3 linked regions of the Saccharomyces cerevisiae S288C genome follow. Each later gene encodes a partner of the first gene's protein in a complex. Each region holds a gene or a part of one and is shown in the gene's direction. Other genes may lie near its edges.

Region 1 (5,899 bases):
CCACCTAAAGTTTCGATACCTAGAGACAATGGGGTAACATCTAATAATAAGACGTCAGTAACCTCACCGGACAAGACAGCACCTTGCACAGCAGCACCAATGGCAACAGCTTCATCTGGGTTGACGGCCTTAGATGGGTCCTTACCAAACAAAGATTTAACGGTTTCGACAACCTTAGGCATTCTGGACATACCACCGACCAATAAGACTTCAGATATGTCTGAAGTAGACAAACCGGCGTCTTTCAAAGCCTTCTTGACTGGGTCGACAGTTCTCTTAACTAGTGGGGCTGTCAAAGTCTCGAATTGAGCCCTGGAGAACTTCATGTTGATATGCTTTGGACCTGAGGCATCAGCAGTGATAAATGGCAGGTTGATTTCAGTGGAAACGGTAGAAGATAGCTCAATCTTAGCCTTTTCAGCAGCTTCTCTAATTCTTTGGATAGCCATACGGTCATTTTCCAAATCAATACCAGTTTCGGTCTTGAAACGAGAAACAATCTCTCTCAACAAATAGATGTCGAAATCTTCACCACCCAAATGAGTGTCACCGTTAGTGGACTTAACTTCAAAAACACCGTTGTCAATATCTAAGATGGAGATATCGAAAGTACCACCACCCAAATCGAAAACGGCAACAACTTTAGAGTCGGATTTTTCCAAACCGTAAGCTAAGGCAGCGGCGGTTGGTTCATTGACGACACGTAAAACGTTCAAACCAACAATTTGGCCTGCGTCTTTAGTAGCTTGTCTTTGAGAGTCGTTGAAATAAGCTGGGACAGTGACAACAGCATTCTTAACTGGCTTACCCAAGTAGGCCTCAGCTGTTTCCTTCATCTTGTTCAAGACGAACCCACCGATTTGGGCTGGTGAGTAAGTTTGACCTCTGGCCTCAACCCAAGCATCCCCGTTGGAGTGCTTGACGATCTTGTATGGAACTTGCTTGATATCTCTTTGCACTTCAGCGTCTTCGAAACGACGACCAATCAAACGCTTGGTAGCAAATAGGGTGTTTTCTGGGTTCACTACGGCTTGACGCTTGGCTGGAATACCAACCAAACGTTCTCCCTCTTTAGTGAAAGCTACTACAGAAGGAGTAGTTCTGGAACCTTCGGCGTTTTCAATAATTTTTGGAACTTTACCTTCCATAATGGCAACCGCAGAGTTGGTGGTACCCAAATCGATACCGATGACGGAACCTTGAACCTTGGTTGACTGCAAACGTGTGGCAATACGGAAAGAGCTAGACAAGCTTGACCTGTTTAGTATGTTTTTAGCAGCAAGCATCTTGGTGCGTATAATATGAGATTTGTGTAGTCTTAATTATATTAAATGGGTCGTAAATACAAAAGTTGTCACTCTGGCAAAGGTTGGTGAGCAGCGGGGCGTCGATATGTACAGCAGGCAGAGGAGGACAGCAACGTATGGAGTTTTCAAACGTGGAACAAAGAACCCAAAAGTTCCCAAGCGTCGAGCCGGCGTTGGATCGTTCGTTTTTATACACCGCACCGTAAGCGGTCACCGGAAAAAGAGGCAGGGGGCGGTGGAACCGGGCCGAAGCCCATGGAAAAGCTCTGCCGTTGTGGGTGATATACAATTATTCAGCGCATCTAAGGCACTAGCTTTAGCACATTGTACCATTGCGATGATGCGGAAGAGTTTAATATAAGCAGATGTTAGTTGCGGTAGTTGGTATCATGACAGTGAGCTGAACTACGTAGCGTCGTGATTTATGAGTGGCACAGCTAATAGTAGGAGGAAGGAGGTTTTGCGCGTGCCTGTGATAGATTTGAATAGAGTTTCAGATGAAGAGCAGCTGTTGCCGGTGGTGAGGGCAATTTTGCTACAGCATGACACCTTTCTGTTAAAAAATTATGCTAACAAGGCTGTTCTAGATGCACTACTAGCGGGGCTCACGACAAAGGACCTGCCTGACACGAGTCAAGGTTTTGATGCGAACTTTACGGGTACATTACCGCTAGAAGATGATGTTTGGCTGGAGCAGTACATATTTGACACTGATCCTCAATTACGCTTCGATCGGAAGTGCAGGAATGAGTCACTGTGCTCCATATATAGTAGGCTGTTCAAACTGGGTCTGTTTTTCGCCCAACTGTGTGTGAAAAGTGTGGTTTCTAGCGCAGAATTGCAAGACTGTATCAGCACCTCTCATTATGCGACTAAGCTGACCCGTTATTTCAATGATAATGGTAGTACACACGATGGTGCAGATGCAGGTGCTACCGTGCTGCCCACTGGCGACGATTTCCAGTACCTGTTTGAAAGGGACTATGTTACTTTTCTTCCGACGGGCGTGTTGACCATCTTCCCCTGTGCCAAGGCTATAAGGTACAAGCCATCGACTATGGCGACGACGGACAATTCTTGGGTGAGTATTGATGAACCCGATTGTCTTCTGTTCCACACGGGGACCCTCCTTGCGCGCTGGTCTCAAGGTATGCACACTACCTCACCACTCCAGATAGATCCTCGTGCGAACATTGTTTCGTTGACCATCTGGCCTCCACTTACTACGCCAATCTCGAGTAAAGGAGAGGGTACGATTGCCAATCATTTGTTGGAGCAACAAATTAAGGCTTTCCCAAAAGTCGCTCAGCAATACTACCCACGGGAGCTTAGTATTCTAAGACTCCAAGACGCAATGAAGTTTGTTAAGGAGTTGTTTACTGTTTGCGAGACTGTATTGTCTTTAAACGCTCTTTCCAGATCCACGGGCGTCCCACCAGAGCTGCACGTTTTGTTACCCCAGATATCCAGCATGATGAAAAGGAAAATAGTGCAGGATGATATTTTGAAGTTATTGACCATTTGGTCTGATGCATACGTAGTGGAACTGAACTCTAGAGGGGAGCTGACCATGAATCTACCCAAAAGAGACAATCTAACAACGTTGACCAATAAGTCTAGGACTTTGGCATTCGTGGAAAGGGCAGAGTCGTGGTACCAACAAGTGATAGCTTCCAAGGATGAGATTATGACTGATGTACCCGCTTTCAAAATAAATAAAAGAAGGTCCAGCTCTAATTCTAAAACAGTCTTGAGCAGTAAAGTGCAAACGAAGAGCTCTAATGCTAATGCCTTGAATAACTCAAGATATTTGGCGAATAGTAAGGAAAATTTCATGTACAAAGAGAAGATGCCTGATTCGCAAGCAAACCTTATGGACAGACTGCGTGAAAGAGAGAGACGTTCGGCCGCATTGCTTTCTCAAAGGCAAAAACGTTACCAGCAGTTTCTAGCGATGAAAATGACTCAGGTATTTGATATTCTTTTTTCGCTGACCAGGGGCCAGCCTTATACAGAGACATATCTAAGCTCGCTAATCGTAGATAGTTTACAAGATAGTAATAATCCTATCGGTACAAAAGAAGCAAGTGAAATTTTAGCTGGGCTACAAGGTATCCTACCAATGGACATATCTGTTCATCAAGTGGATGGTGGGTTAAAAGTTTATAGATGGAACAGTTTGGATAAAAACAGATTTTCTAAGCTGTTGCAAATCCACAAATCAAAACAACAAGATTGAAGAATATTTTTAGATATAAGGTAGAATACGTACATTTACGGTAAAAAAAAAAAAAAAAGAAAAAAAATTGATCTTGATACATACGTTGGTATTTTACTTTGAAGACTGTGCATTGTGTATGTACGAAAAGAAAGGGAAATAAAAAATAACGACAACTGCAGGACTCGAACCTGCGCGGGCAAAGCCCAAAAGATTTCTAATCTTTCGCCTTAACCACTCGGCCAAGTTGCCTTTAATCTCTTGAGTTTGTTTAAGGACAACACTGTCCACCTGGCATGGGAATATTACCATTATTCCAGATTCGGGCTTGTTATTAGGACTTTTTACCAGCTTGATTTACCGGTCATTACTTATCCTACACATCATACATCACAACTACACTTGGTGAAGAAATCACAGAGCCTTGGATTTGTAACAATTATATGTTTACGCAATTTATCTTGGGAAAGCAGGGCCTCATTTGTGGACATAGCACGGTCTGTCACCCTCGTCGTGCAAAAAATATTTTGACTTCTACTCTTTTTGAAGTTTCGTTGATCGGGTCCCTTCCAAGGAAAAGTCGAATGCTGTCACTGCGCATATAAAGGCGAGAACGATAGTGACTGTGATATTAAGTTATTGTCATCATATAAGTAATTTTTTCTCTGATATCTGTAGCCCTAGTTTTTAATATTTTCGTAAAATGCTCAAAAAAATTTCTGTTTAAATTCTTCTGGGGTATATACACATGTTCCCGTCAGCTAAATTAAAAAGAAGAAGGAACCGAAAGAAGGCAAATTATAAAGTAATCATCCTCGGCATATTGAGGGGAAAATATCCGTCAAAAAAAAAAGTTCTGCACGTCGTCATAAGTGACTATGGTATCAAACACCAATTAACACGAACGTAGCGATAATGAAGGCAACTTCGTAGCTGAAACAGAACGAAGTTAGTTAGGATGAATAATTATGATTATGATTATTATAATATTATATAAAATGTATAAATAAGATTTCTAGATCAAAAAAACATCGCGTATTTTGTAAGCTATAGAAATCTAAAATATCTAATCAGATCTTGGAGCTTCCTTGAAGGAGATGGCAGCTTCTTCACCCATGGCAGAAATGATAGTGACCATCAAATCCTTACCTTCATCGAAAGCAGCTTGCATGCTGTCACCCAATTCACCTTCTGGTGCCTTGACATCGTCTTTGGTTTCACCGTCCATGGTCATCAAGGACAAGTAGCCATCATCAATATCCAACAATTGGTATTCGCTTCTCTTGACAAATGGAACTTCCAAGTTGTGAGTGGATGGAGACAAATCTTCCAACTTCTTACCAGTGAAGATATCAAGGGTAACCAAATGGACCTTGGCGTGACCGTGCTTACCGGTCTTGGAAGTGGACATGTCGACAATCTTACATGGTCTACCTTTGATGACAACGAAACCATTCTTTCTCAAGGCAGAACATTGCATTGGGTAGGTGGCGGAGGCACCAGCGTCAGCATTTTCAAAGGTGTGTTCTTCGTCAGACATGTTTTAGTGTGTGAATGAAATAGGTGTATGTTTTCTTTTTGCTAGACAATAATTAGGAACAAGGTAAGGGAACTAAAGTGTAGAATAAGATTAAAAAAGAAGAACAAGTTGAAAAGGCAAGTTGAAATTTCAAGAAAAAAGTCAATTGAAGTACAGTAAATTGACCTGAATATATCTGAGTTCCGACAACAATGAGTTTACCAAAGAGAACAATGGAATAGGAAACTTTGAACGAAGAAAGGAAAGCAGGAAAGGAAAAAATTTTTAGGCTCGAGAACAATAGGGCGAAAAAACAGGCAACGAACGAACAATGGAAAAACGAAAAAAAAAAAAAAAAACACAGAAAAGAATGCAGAAAGATGTCAACTGAAAAAAAAAAAGGTGAACACAGGAAAAAAAATAAAAAAAAAAAAAAAAAAAGGAGGACGAAACAAAAAAGTGAAAAAAAATGAAAATTTTTTTGGAAAACCAAGAAATGAATTATATTTCCGTGTGAGACGACATCGTCGAATATGATTCAGGGTAACAGTATTGATGTAATCAATTTCCTACCTGAATCTAAAATTCCCGGGAGCAAGATCAAGATGTTTTCACCGATCTTTCCGGTCTCTTTGGCCGGGGTTTACGGACGATGGCAGAAGACCAAAGCGCCAGTTCATTTGGCGAGCGTTGGTTGGTGGATCAAGCCCACGCGTAGGCAATCCTCGAGCAGATCCGCCAGGCGTGTATATATAGCGTGGATGGCCAGGCAACTTTAGTGCTGACACATACAGGCATATATATATGTGTGCGACGACACATGATCATATGGCATGCATGTGCTCTGTATGTATA
Region 2 (6,060 bases), on another chromosome or scaffold:
GCGAATCAAAAAATGGGAAATACATACGAAAAACTTGAAAGAAACAAGTACCACAGGACATGCTGTGGTCCGTTTTTCCCCAGAGCACTTTTATGTGGGACTCTTAGAAGGGAAATAGCTCTGTTCATATAGAACAAAAAAAGAATAGCCCTGTAGGGGGCTCGAACCCCTAACCTTATGATTAAGAGTCATACGCGCTACCGATTGCGCCAACAAGGCTAATTCGTTGGAAAACGTCCCCATTTCAGGGAAACATAGCTCACGATGTTAATAACTGATTTGTAGCCGAGCCACATTGTATCAACGCGTGATTAACACATGTTTGGAATATACTGTTGGAACAAGAATCAACTAGTGCTCATATTAGCAATATATTACTATATACGGTGTAAGAAGATGTCCACTATAGTCAGCCATATTCTTGATCTTACGAAAGGGAACTGTGATGTAAAATTTGTGACACTGTGACACCTTCTAGTGAAATATAGGGCATTACCAAAGTCACTAATGAGTAAAAATACCAATTACTGTCCGTAGTTCGTCAGATTAGAATCCACTATATTTTCTTTGATTGGGAGTTAACGCTGCATACTTGTCTTGGGTACTGCGTTAACCATAAATCACATAAGCGTCATTCATTATCGTACCTCTGGGTAAGTGTTTTTCAGGAGTTTTTATATATAATATGCTGGCCCCCAAGGCGGATGAGGACTGTATACGGTTTTGACGTTAAAGTGTTATATGAATCGCAGTCGCATACACTAGTGGACCCCTAGTTCCGCGATACGTAGTTGACCCTCAGTACAGAGATTCCCACGATTAACGGGTGTACTGCTCCTGACTAATGTAATTTTGAGTTCACCTGTTGATGTGGTGCTGATACTGGCACCAGTACTAATGTTTGGAAGAACTCCGTAGCATTAAGTGGAGAGATTAATCCGATACTGAGCTGAATAGTTGGTTTCACTCCCGCAAAAAGATATCAATACAGTTTGCTAACAACTTGGGAAACCCTGATGAGAAGAATTAGCGGTCATCCTGAGAAATAGGTGACCATTTAAATGGTCACTTGAATTCGATTTTCCAGTAAGGGAAGTGTCATTCGGAATCCAGAATATACCAGAAATAAGCAATTTTGCATGATAGTGCTGTTATCCTTTCTTGTGTTTTATACGATATCATACATCACCCCATTACGTTATTTATCTTGCATTTCAGTTTTTACTGGGTTTACCCTTTTCGCGATTTATATCATATTATCACCGCACATAATATACTAGTAACATTACTATTCGTCGACAAACAATAGCTTGTTTTGATTCCAGTTCTCATAACATTTGTGTACCTATTCTTTTGCCGTTCCTTCGCTATTTGGTATTGTCATCTAAGTTCGTCTATTAAATTTCCTTTTTAGGAAAAGCGCCTAATAGGCCTTTCTTGAAGCTTTTTTTTTTTCTTTCTTTAATCTACAATAATAACAAAATATTTCATTCTTAAGTGATTTACAGCGAGTATCTTACACTTCGCCACCGGTGGATAGGAAAAATAGACTTACCAAAGGTTAAAACTGGTTTTTTTCAATGTCATCCCCTTTTCCAGCTGACACACCAAGCAGTAATAGACCTTCCAACTCCTCTCCGCCACCATCGTCGATAGGTGCTGGCTTCGGAAGCAGTAGCGGACTCGATTCGCAAATAGGCTCTAGGTTACATTTCCCAAGTTCTTCTCAACCGCATGTCAGTAATTCACAAACAGGCCCTTTTGTTAACGATTCCACTCAGTTTAGTTCTCAAAGGTTGCAAACCGATGGTTCCGCGACTAATGATATGGAGGGAAATGAACCTGCCAGAAGCTTCAAAAGTAGAGCTTTGAATCACGTTAAGAAAGTTGATGACGTTACTGGTGAAAAAGTCCGTGAAGCGTTCGAGCAGTTTTTGGAAGACTTTTCCGTTCAATCCACTGATACTGGTGAAGTTGAAAAAGTTTATAGAGCTCAAATTGAATTTATGAAAATATATGACCTAAACACCATTTATATAGATTATCAGCATTTATCCATGAGAGAAAATGGTGCTCTAGCTATGGCTATCTCAGAACAATATTACAGATTTTTGCCTTTTTTACAAAAGGGTTTAAGAAGAGTAGTAAGAAAGTATGCACCTGAATTGTTAAACACAAGTGACTCATTGAAGAGATCCGAAGGTGACGAAGGTCAAGCGGATGAAGATGAGCAACAGGACGATGATATGAATGGGTCGAGTCTACCAAGAGATTCTGGATCATCAGCCGCACCAGGGAATGGGACATCTGCCATGGCAACGAGGTCAATAACAACTTCTACGTCACCTGAACAGACGGAACGTGTTTTTCAAATCAGTTTCTTCAATCTACCAACAGTTCACAGAATTCGTGATATAAGATCTGAAAAGATTGGTTCACTATTGAGTATATCAGGGACAGTGACAAGAACATCTGAGGTCCGTCCAGAATTATACAAGGCAAGCTTTACGTGTGATATGTGCCGTGCTATCGTAGATAACGTAGAACAGTCCTTCAAGTACACTGAACCGACATTTTGCCCGAACCCATCATGCGAAAATAGAGCCTTTTGGACATTAAATGTTACAAGATCCAGGTTTCTTGATTGGCAAAAAGTCAGAATTCAAGAAAATGCTAACGAAATACCTACAGGCTCCATGCCGCGTACGCTGGACGTCATTCTTCGAGGTGATAGTGTCGAAAGAGCCAAGCCAGGTGACCGTTGCAAATTTACGGGTGTGGAAATTGTAGTACCTGATGTTACACAATTGGGGCTACCAGGTGTGAAGCCAAGTTCAACATTAGATACTAGAGGTATTTCGAAGACTACTGAAGGTTTGAATAGTGGTGTTACTGGTTTACGCTCTCTTGGTGTTCGTGATTTGACATACAAGATTAGCTTTCTGGCATGCCATGTTATCAGTATTGGATCAAACATTGGTGCAAGTAGCCCTGATGCAAATTCTAACAACCGAGAAACTGAACTACAGATGGCTGCTAATTTACAAGCTAATAATGTATACCAAGATAATGAAAGAGATCAAGAAGTATTCTTGAACAGTTTGAGTTCAGATGAAATAAATGAGCTGAAGGAAATGGTAAAGGATGAACATATTTATGATAAATTGGTCAGATCTATTGCTCCAGCTGTGTTTGGCCATGAAGCCGTAAAGAAGGGTATCTTGCTTCAGATGCTCGGTGGTGTTCATAAGAGTACTGTAGAAGGTATTAAGTTAAGAGGAGATATCAACATCTGTGTTGTTGGTGATCCCTCTACTTCTAAGTCTCAATTTTTAAAATACGTAGTGGGATTTGCACCAAGATCAGTTTACACTTCCGGTAAGGCCTCGTCGGCTGCTGGTTTAACAGCTGCGGTTGTGAGAGATGAGGAAGGAGGTGATTATACAATTGAAGCAGGTGCTTTAATGCTTGCTGATAACGGTATTTGTTGTATCGATGAATTTGATAAAATGGATATTTCAGATCAAGTTGCCATTCATGAAGCTATGGAACAACAGACCATCTCTATTGCTAAAGCTGGTATTCACGCTACTTTAAATGCAAGAACATCAATTCTAGCGGCTGCCAACCCGGTAGGTGGAAGATACAATAGGAAACTATCACTGAGGGGTAATTTAAATATGACCGCACCGATCATGTCCAGATTTGATTTATTTTTTGTTATTCTTGATGACTGTAACGAAAAAATTGATACCGAATTGGCATCTCATATCGTTGACTTACACATGAAAAGAGACGAAGCCATTGAGCCGCCATTTAGTGCAGAACAACTACGTCGTTATATCAAATATGCACGTACTTTTAAACCAATATTAACGAAAGAAGCCCGTTCCTATTTAGTCGAGAAGTATAAGGAACTGAGAAAGGATGATGCCCAGGGATTTAGTAGATCGAGTTATAGAATCACAGTTAGGCAACTTGAAAGTATGATTAGATTATCAGAAGCTATTGCGAGGGCTAATTGTGTCGATGAAATTACTCCATCATTCATTGCAGAAGCTTACGATCTTTTAAGGCAAAGTATTATTCGTGTTGATGTGGATGATGTGGAAATGGATGAAGAATTTGATAACATAGAGAGTCAAAGTCACGCCGCTTCTGGAAACAATGATGACAATGATGATGGGACTGGGTCAGGTGTAATTACGAGTGAGCCACCAGCAGATATAGAAGAAGGACAAAGCGAAGCTACAGCTCGTCCAGGTACAAGCGAGAAGAAGAAAACAACGGTGACGTATGATAAATATGTGTCCATGATGAACATGATCGTTAGAAAGATTGCTGAAGTAGATAGGGAGGGTGCAGAAGAACTAACAGCTGTGGATATAGTTGATTGGTATTTATTACAGAAGGAAAATGATTTGGGTTCGTTAGCAGAATATTGGGAAGAGAGAAGATTAGCGTTCAAAGTCATAAAAAGGTTGGTCAAAGATAGGATTTTAATGGAGATTCATGGTACCAGACACAATTTAAGAGATCTTGAGAATGAGGAAAATGAAAATAATAAAACTGTTTATGTTATTCATCCAAACTGTGAGGTTTTGGATCAATTGGAACCACAGGATTCCAGCTAATTCAGTGCACTCTTGCGGATTTTCATATTTCGTTTCAAGTATCGTTCACGTTGTAAATTCCTATCGTGTGCATTTCTCTTTGTGGGAGAAAAATATCTTACATAACTTGGCTCTCAAATCAAGTTATAATTGTTGTATAAAGTTGTACTCTTAATGAAAAAACAAAATATTATATTTTGGCTTCCACTTGCAGTCTTTTACAAAAAGAAAAAATACTTCGAAATTTAAGCAATACAAAAATACGTACGTCCTTTTTTCACCTTATATATATTCTTCCAACGTATTTACCTCTCTATTTGGAAATACCAAATTCTTCGTATAAAGTATCACCTAATCTCTTCAGACCTTCAGTCAGTTTCTCAGGAGAGACAGCTGCATAGGTACCTCTGAAGAAAATTATGTTTGGATTACTGACTTCTTTAGATTCAGCGGGTTGAGGAGGTTCCGTCTCACCCTCACTCTTGAACCAAGAACCGGGAACCACTAAAACACCACGTTCAACCACTTTGTGGTAAAGACTCTGTTCTAGCTGGTAAGGGTCTGAGTTGTATTTTGTTTTAAACTCAGGGTGGACAGATGCGTCAATGTTCACGGTGAAAAACATACCTGCAATTGGAGGATTGATCACGAAAGCATCAGATTGTGGTAGATACTTGTAAAGGGCATCGATGGCACAGTCACGTTTCAAAGTGTATTCATGACGCAGGCCAAGCAACCAGTCCAAGTAACCCTTTTGACCCCACCTGGATAGCGTAGCGTTGACCAAAACTTGTGTAAAACCTGCTGGGGCTTGAATCGTCATTTCATGCAAACTCAAGTAAGGCTTCAAGATTTTGGATGAACCAGTAATCCAACCCAATCTTGTCCCTGGGGCCAAAACTTTTGAAAAGGAATCCATTCTAATAACACGGCCTTCTGTATCCAAGGAAAGGAAAGTGTTTGCCAAGGACTTCAAAAATTCGTCATGGTCCTGCTTTGGAGAACTTTGTGCCTTCTCTCTTTCCTTCAAGTCTTTGATGTAGGGATTCATTTGTAAGAAATAATAAGGTTCATCTTCCACAATTAGGAAGTCGTACTTTTGAGCGATCTTGTAAATTGCCTCCTTTCTATGGTCTGCAATGGAAGTACCAGTTGGATTTTGGCCCGTTGGAATAGTGTATAACAACTTTGGTTTAGGAGCACCAGGTGTCCAGTTTTCCATGACTTTAGCTAATTTTTCAGGAATGATACCATCAGCGTCAATTGGCACGGGGAAGGTAATGACACCTTGAGCCTCTGCAGAAGCCAATGAAGAGGAAAAAGAATGTGCCTCAACTAAGATGACATCACCTCGGTTACAAAAGACTCTTAAAGTAGATTCCCAGGCATTTGTGTTACCTGCAGTGGCTAAAACGTCCCAGTCCTTATACTTCAAATCGTGGATAAT
Region 3 (5,619 bases), on another chromosome or scaffold:
GACCCTGAACAAAACAACAGCTTCTTGGATAACTACTTGGATATTCCTATTGACTTATCAAAAGTGCTTTTCGTTTGCACTGCTAACTCTTTGGAAACTATTCCAAGACCTTTACTGGATCGTATGGAAGTCATTGAGTTGACAGGATATGTTGCTGAAGACAAGGTTAAGATTGCCGAGCAGTATTTAGTTCCAAGTGCCAAGAAAAGCGCTGGTCTAGAAAACTCTCATGTTGATATGACAGAAGATGCAATAACAGCGTTAATGAAGTACTACTGTAGAGAAAGTGGTGTAAGGAATTTGAAAAAACACATCGAGAAAATATACCGTAAAGCAGCCCTACAAGTGGTAAAGAAGTTGAGTATTGAAGATTCCCCAACGTCATCAGCCGACAGCAAGCCTAAAGAAAGCGTTTCTTCCGAAGAAAAGGCGGAAAATAACGCCAAAAGCTCATCGGAGAAGACTAAGGACAATAATTCGGAAAAGACAAGCGATGACATTGAAGCCTTAAAGACCTCTGAAAAGATCAATGTTTCCATATCCCAGAAAAACCTAAAAGATTACGTTGGGCCTCCAGTCTACACTACAGACCGGTTATACGAAACAACTCCACCAGGGGTAGTTATGGGGTTGGCGTGGACTAATATGGGAGGTTGCTCACTTTATGTAGAATCTGTCCTTGAACAACCTTTACACAACTGCAAGCATCCAACATTTGAAAGGACCGGGCAACTGGGAGATGTTATGAAGGAATCATCAAGGCTTGCTTATTCATTCGCCAAGATGTATTTAGCACAAAAATTCCCTGAGAACAGATTTTTTGAAAAGGCGTCTATCCACTTGCATTGTCCTGAAGGTGCTACCCCTAAAGATGGTCCATCTGCAGGTGTCACTATGGCCACTTCCTTCCTTTCCCTAGCATTGAATAAGTCGATTGACCCAACGGTTGCGATGACCGGTGAATTGACACTTACCGGTAAAGTTTTACGTATCGGTGGGTTGAGAGAAAAAGCTGTGGCCGCTAAAAGATCTGGTGCCAAGACTATTATTTTCCCTAAAGATAACTTAAATGATTGGGAGGAACTTCCAGACAATGTAAAGGAAGGGTTGGAACCTTTAGCTGCTGATTGGTATAATGATATATTCCAAAAATTATTCAAGGATGTGAATACGAAAGAAGGTAATTCAGTATGGAAGGCTGAATTTGAGATTTTGGATGCTAAAAAGGAAAAGGACTAACTTTTCATCTAAATGGATTAAATACCTGTTTAAACATTCTGTAAATATTTAAACATAAACATCAATTTTATTACACAATACTAAATTCTTTCTTTTCTTCGTGAAGTATGTATGTGGGAAACCCAAGATGGCGGAATCGCGTGTAATATTATTTATCATATGCCTTTTTTAGGAAATCTAATTACTTACCGAAGAAAATAGGACAACGAAAAATTTCGAGAAACGAAACCAGAAAGTAAATGGTGAATATCCTATAATCTACACATTTTGGTACAGTTTACTTAATAATACTCCACACACCTCTTTGCCTCTTTTCTAAGAAGTATAACACAACTACAATATAAGTGATGTCTGATAATAGAAGACGTAGACGTGAGGAAGATGATTCGGACTCAGAAAATGAGCTACCGCCATCCTCACCTCAGCAACATTTTAGAGGGGGGATGAACCCAGTTTCATCACCTATTGGTTCTCCAGATATGATTAACCCTGAAGGTGACGATAATGAAGTTGACGATGTACCAGATATTGATGAAGTTGAAGAACAAATGAACGAAGTAGATTTGATGGACGATAATATGTATGAGGATTATGCGGCTGATCATAATAGAGATAGATATGATCCAGATCAAGTTGACGACAGGGAACAACAAGAACTATCTTTAAGCGAACGTCGCCGCATTGATGCTCAACTAAATGAAAGAGATAGGCTATTGAGAAATGTTGCCTACATAGATGACGAGGACGAAGAACAAGAAGGTGCAGCGCAACTTGATGAAATGGGCCTTCCTGTGCAAAGACGAAGAAGGAGAAGGCAGTATGAGGACTTAGAGAATAGTGATGACGATCTATTGAGTGACATGGACATTGACCCATTAAGAGAAGAACTTACTTTAGAATCTCTGAGTAACGTTAAGGCTAACAGTTACTCGGAATGGATAACACAACCTAATGTCTCAAGAACTATTGCCAGAGAGTTAAAATCATTCCTGCTGGAATATACAGATGAAACGGGTCGTTCTGTATATGGTGCACGTATTAGAACATTAGGTGAAATGAATTCTGAATCTTTGGAGGTTAATTATAGACACTTAGCGGAGTCCAAAGCCATCCTGGCACTATTTTTAGCTAAATGTCCAGAAGAAATGTTGAAAATATTCGATCTCGTGGCTATGGAGGCAACAGAATTGCATTACCCAGATTATGCCCGTATTCACTCCGAAATTCACGTAAGAATCTCTGATTTTCCAACAATATACAGTTTACGTGAATTGCGTGAGTCTAATTTGTCCTCTCTAGTACGCGTCACTGGGGTGGTGACAAGAAGAACAGGAGTCTTCCCTCAATTAAAATATGTCAAATTCAATTGTTTGAAATGTGGCTCCATTTTGGGCCCATTTTTTCAAGATTCTAATGAAGAAATTAGAATCTCATTCTGTACAAACTGCAAATCAAAAGGTCCCTTTAGAGTCAATGGAGAAAAAACTGTGTACCGAAATTATCAAAGGGTTACGCTCCAGGAAGCTCCCGGAACCGTTCCTCCAGGCCGTCTACCAAGACATAGAGAAGTCATTTTGTTGGCGGATTTGGTAGATGTATCCAAGCCAGGTGAAGAGGTAGAAGTTACCGGCATCTACAAAAATAACTACGATGGTAACTTGAATGCAAAGAACGGATTCCCCGTTTTTGCAACAATTATCGAGGCAAATTCTATAAAAAGAAGAGAGGGCAATACAGCTAACGAAGGCGAAGAAGGGTTGGATGTTTTCAGTTGGACTGAAGAAGAAGAACGTGAATTTAGAAAGATTTCTAGGGATCGTGGTATAATTGATAAAATTATATCATCGATGGCACCGTCTATCTATGGTCATAGAGATATTAAAACTGCAGTCGCGTGCTCATTATTTGGAGGTGTTCCAAAAAACGTCAATGGAAAACATTCTATTCGTGGTGATATCAATGTGTTATTATTAGGTGATCCAGGTACTGCCAAATCTCAAATCTTAAAATACGTCGAGAAAACAGCGCATAGAGCGGTCTTTGCAACTGGTCAGGGTGCTTCGGCTGTCGGTCTGACAGCATCCGTCAGAAAAGATCCTATTACTAAAGAATGGACCTTAGAAGGGGGGGCGCTAGTATTGGCTGATAAGGGTGTTTGTTTAATTGATGAATTCGATAAGATGAACGATCAGGATCGTACATCTATTCATGAGGCTATGGAACAGCAAAGTATTTCCATTTCCAAGGCCGGTATTGTTACTACATTACAAGCGCGCTGCTCAATTATTGCTGCGGCAAATCCTAATGGTGGTAGATATAATTCAACCTTGCCTTTAGCTCAGAATGTTAGTTTGACCGAGCCTATTCTGTCTAGATTTGATATTTTATGTGTTGTCAGAGACCTTGTTGATGAAGAGGCAGACGAAAGATTGGCCACATTTGTTGTCGATTCTCATGTAAGATCTCATCCAGAAAACGATGAAGATCGAGAAGGCGAAGAGCTTAAAAATAATGGCGAATCGGCGATAGAACAAGGAGAAGATGAAATAAATGAGCAGCTTAATGCAAGGCAAAGAAGACTTCAAAGACAAAGGAAGAAGGAGGAAGAGATCTCGCCTATTCCACAGGAATTATTGATGAAATATATTCACTATGCGAGGACAAAAATATACCCTAAATTGCATCAGATGGATATGGATAAGGTTAGCAGGGTATATGCGGATTTGAGAAGAGAAAGTATTTCTACAGGTTCGTTTCCAATCACAGTTCGTCATTTAGAATCTATTCTAAGAATTGCAGAATCTTTTGCTAAAATGAGATTATCTGAATTTGTGTCTTCTTATGATTTGGATAGAGCTATCAAAGTTGTAGTTGATTCCTTTGTTGATGCCCAAAAAGTCAGTGTTCGCCGCCAACTCCGCAGGTCTTTCGCAATTTATACCTTGGGTCACTAAAACTTTGTTATTCCTACGAATATCTGGATATGAAGATAAAAAATTCTCTGTCTCAATCCATGTATTGGCAATCCTATTTTCAATATACAAGTTTCCTTTATTTTTTGTATAATTTTTATACACTGTATCTTTAATTTCAATTCAACTAAATACTCAAGATCTAGTCAAAAGTGCATTATTTACTATCCAAAAAAAAAAAAAAAAATGAAGTAAAAAAGAAGTAACAAGACCGAATAAAAAAGGCTCATTACTGAAGTATTATATTCTTATTTTTGCCTTTTAATAATATACATTTACTTTACAGTGGAGGGGATAAGAAACATGATAACTATCAATTAGCAGCGCTAGGAGCTTCAGTAGAGGTTCCGGTAGTAGTTTCTGCGGGAGATTCAGTCGTTTCTTTTTCTTTTTCTTTTTCTTCAGCGCTTGGAGTAGCCTTGGCATTCGCATCAATACCAAAGATCCTATATAATAGCTCATGAGTATCTTCTTTACAAACCATCAAATTGATACACTTGTTGCCTTTCCACACAGGCAAGAATAAGTTTTCTTTGGCAGGGTCATTTCTTGACACATCAATAAAGGCGCAACCAGAGCTTAATTTTGTCATCTTTTCAACAAAATCATTATCGATGTTCTTCGAACGAATGTCGTCAAAGTTAGGGAAAGATTCGATTAACAAGTGTTTTAACATCTCTAAATTAGCTTCAACAATTCTATTAGATTTCATATGGTGTTTCATTATTGGCAATGATTCACTTTGGATTCTCCATGAACATTCGATATCACTTCTTTGAGAGACAAACAATTTTACACCAGAATAAATAATCTTCAACCTATCGTCATTCGCTTGAATAACATCCTTCAATGCTGGACACACAGTGTAAACCACTCTTGTTGGTTCACCAGTGGCGTTACGCACTAAACAAGTGTTTCTGTCGAAAATATTATCGATGCCGTAGAAATCCCAACAAACTTTTAAAGCTTCGTGCTGTGGATCAACGAAAACAAAAGGCTCTTCGTTCGCGTCACGTGGTAGTCTTTCTTTCTTTTGGACTTCTTCTACCTTTATTTTCTTTGTTTGAGGTCCTTCAGACTCTAGAGCTGGGGTTTCAGAAGATAGTTTCTCTGTAGCCGCCTCAGTGCTATCTTCGACTTTTTCGAAAACAGTAATGAAAAATCCGCCTGTGTTTTGTTGGTGAGGATAAACCCTCATACAATTTTGTAAATTGAATTTCGATGCCTCTTCTTCAGATGGTGAAAAGAAACTATCTAGTGTACCTTCGTCTCCTTTGGTTTTCTCAGTCAAATTTCTGTCATAGACAGGCCATTTGGATACACCCTTGGATCTTATTAGGCCAGGAAGCTTATCATCACAGTTAACTAATCTAATCTTGTCACCCCACTTTCTTAACGCTTCGGCAAC

The links. Proteins that work in one complex are often made in the same cells at the same time.
Region 2: the proteins of TAH11 (region 1) and MCM6 are in contact, whole or in part, in a cryo-EM structure (PDB 5XF8), measured with the Saccharomyces cerevisiae proteins. Residues at the interface, in NP_012580.1 of Saccharomyces cerevisiae: Gln502 (codon at 3,235), Tyr505 (codon at 3,244), Leu509 (codon at 3,256), Ser522 (codon at 3,295), Leu523 (codon at 3,298), Gly526 (codon at 3,307), Gln527 (codon at 3,310), Pro528 (codon at 3,313), Asp540 (codon at 3,349), Ser545 (codon at 3,364), Lys552 (codon at 3,385), Glu553 (codon at 3,388); in NP_011314.2 of Saccharomyces cerevisiae: Ser171 (codon at 2,091), Pro271 (codon at 2,391), Thr272 (codon at 2,394), Val273 (codon at 2,397), Phe504 (codon at 3,090), Asn506 (codon at 3,096), Ser507 (codon at 3,099), Leu508 (codon at 3,102), Ser510 (codon at 3,108), Asp511 (codon at 3,111), Ile513 (codon at 3,117), Lys517 (codon at 3,129).
Region 3: the proteins of TAH11 (region 1) and MCM2 are in contact, whole or in part, in a cryo-EM structure (PDB 5XF8), measured with the Saccharomyces cerevisiae proteins. Residues at the interface, in NP_012580.1 of Saccharomyces cerevisiae: Ser210 (codon at 2,359), Thr211 (codon at 2,362), Met212 (codon at 2,365), Ala213 (codon at 2,368), Thr215 (codon at 2,374), His244 (codon at 2,461), Thr245 (codon at 2,464), Ser331 (codon at 2,722), Gln346 (codon at 2,767), Ser349 (codon at 2,776); in NP_009530.1 of Saccharomyces cerevisiae: Thr219 (codon at 2,241), Asp220 (codon at 2,244), Glu221 (codon at 2,247), Thr222 (codon at 2,250), Gly223 (codon at 2,253), Arg224 (codon at 2,256), Val226 (codon at 2,262), Ala229 (codon at 2,271), Arg230 (codon at 2,274), Leu258 (codon at 2,358), Pro301 (codon at 2,487).

Annotation. Positions count from the first base shown.
Region 1 is NC_001142.9:520,317-526,215, forward strand, and holds TAH11 (Tah11p), read left to right. Parts: upstream 1-1,731; coding exon 1,732-3,546; downstream 3,547-5,899. Other genes in the region: Hsp70 family ATPase SSC1, read right to left, coding at 1-1,286; ANB1 (translation elongation factor eIF-5A), read right to left, coding at 4,592-5,065. UniProt on the Saccharomyces cerevisiae protein: DNA replication licensing factor, required for pre-replication complex assembly. Faithful duplication of the genetic material requires 'once per cell cycle' DNA replication initiation and elongation.
Region 2 is NC_001139.9:116,428-122,487, reverse strand, and holds MCM6 (MCM DNA helicase complex subunit MCM6), read left to right. Parts: upstream 1-1,580; coding exon 1,581-4,634; downstream 4,635-6,060. Other genes in the region: ARO8 (bifunctional 2-aminoadipate transaminase/aromatic-amino-acid:2-oxoglutarate transaminase), read right to left, coding at 4,927-6,060. UniProt on the Saccharomyces cerevisiae protein: Acts as a component of the MCM2-7 complex (MCM complex) which is the putative replicative helicase essential for 'once per cell cycle' DNA replication initiation and elongation in eukaryotic cells.
Region 3 is NC_001134.8:173,494-179,112, reverse strand, and holds MCM2 (MCM DNA helicase complex subunit MCM2), read left to right. Parts: upstream 1-1,586; coding exon 1,587-4,193; downstream 4,194-5,619. Other genes in the region: ATP-dependent Lon protease PIM1, read left to right, coding at 1-1,239; NCL1 (tRNA (cytosine-C5-)-methyltransferase), read right to left, coding at 4,525-5,619. UniProt on the Saccharomyces cerevisiae protein: Acts as a component of the MCM2-7 complex (MCM complex) which is the putative replicative helicase essential for 'once per cell cycle' DNA replication initiation and elongation in eukaryotic cells.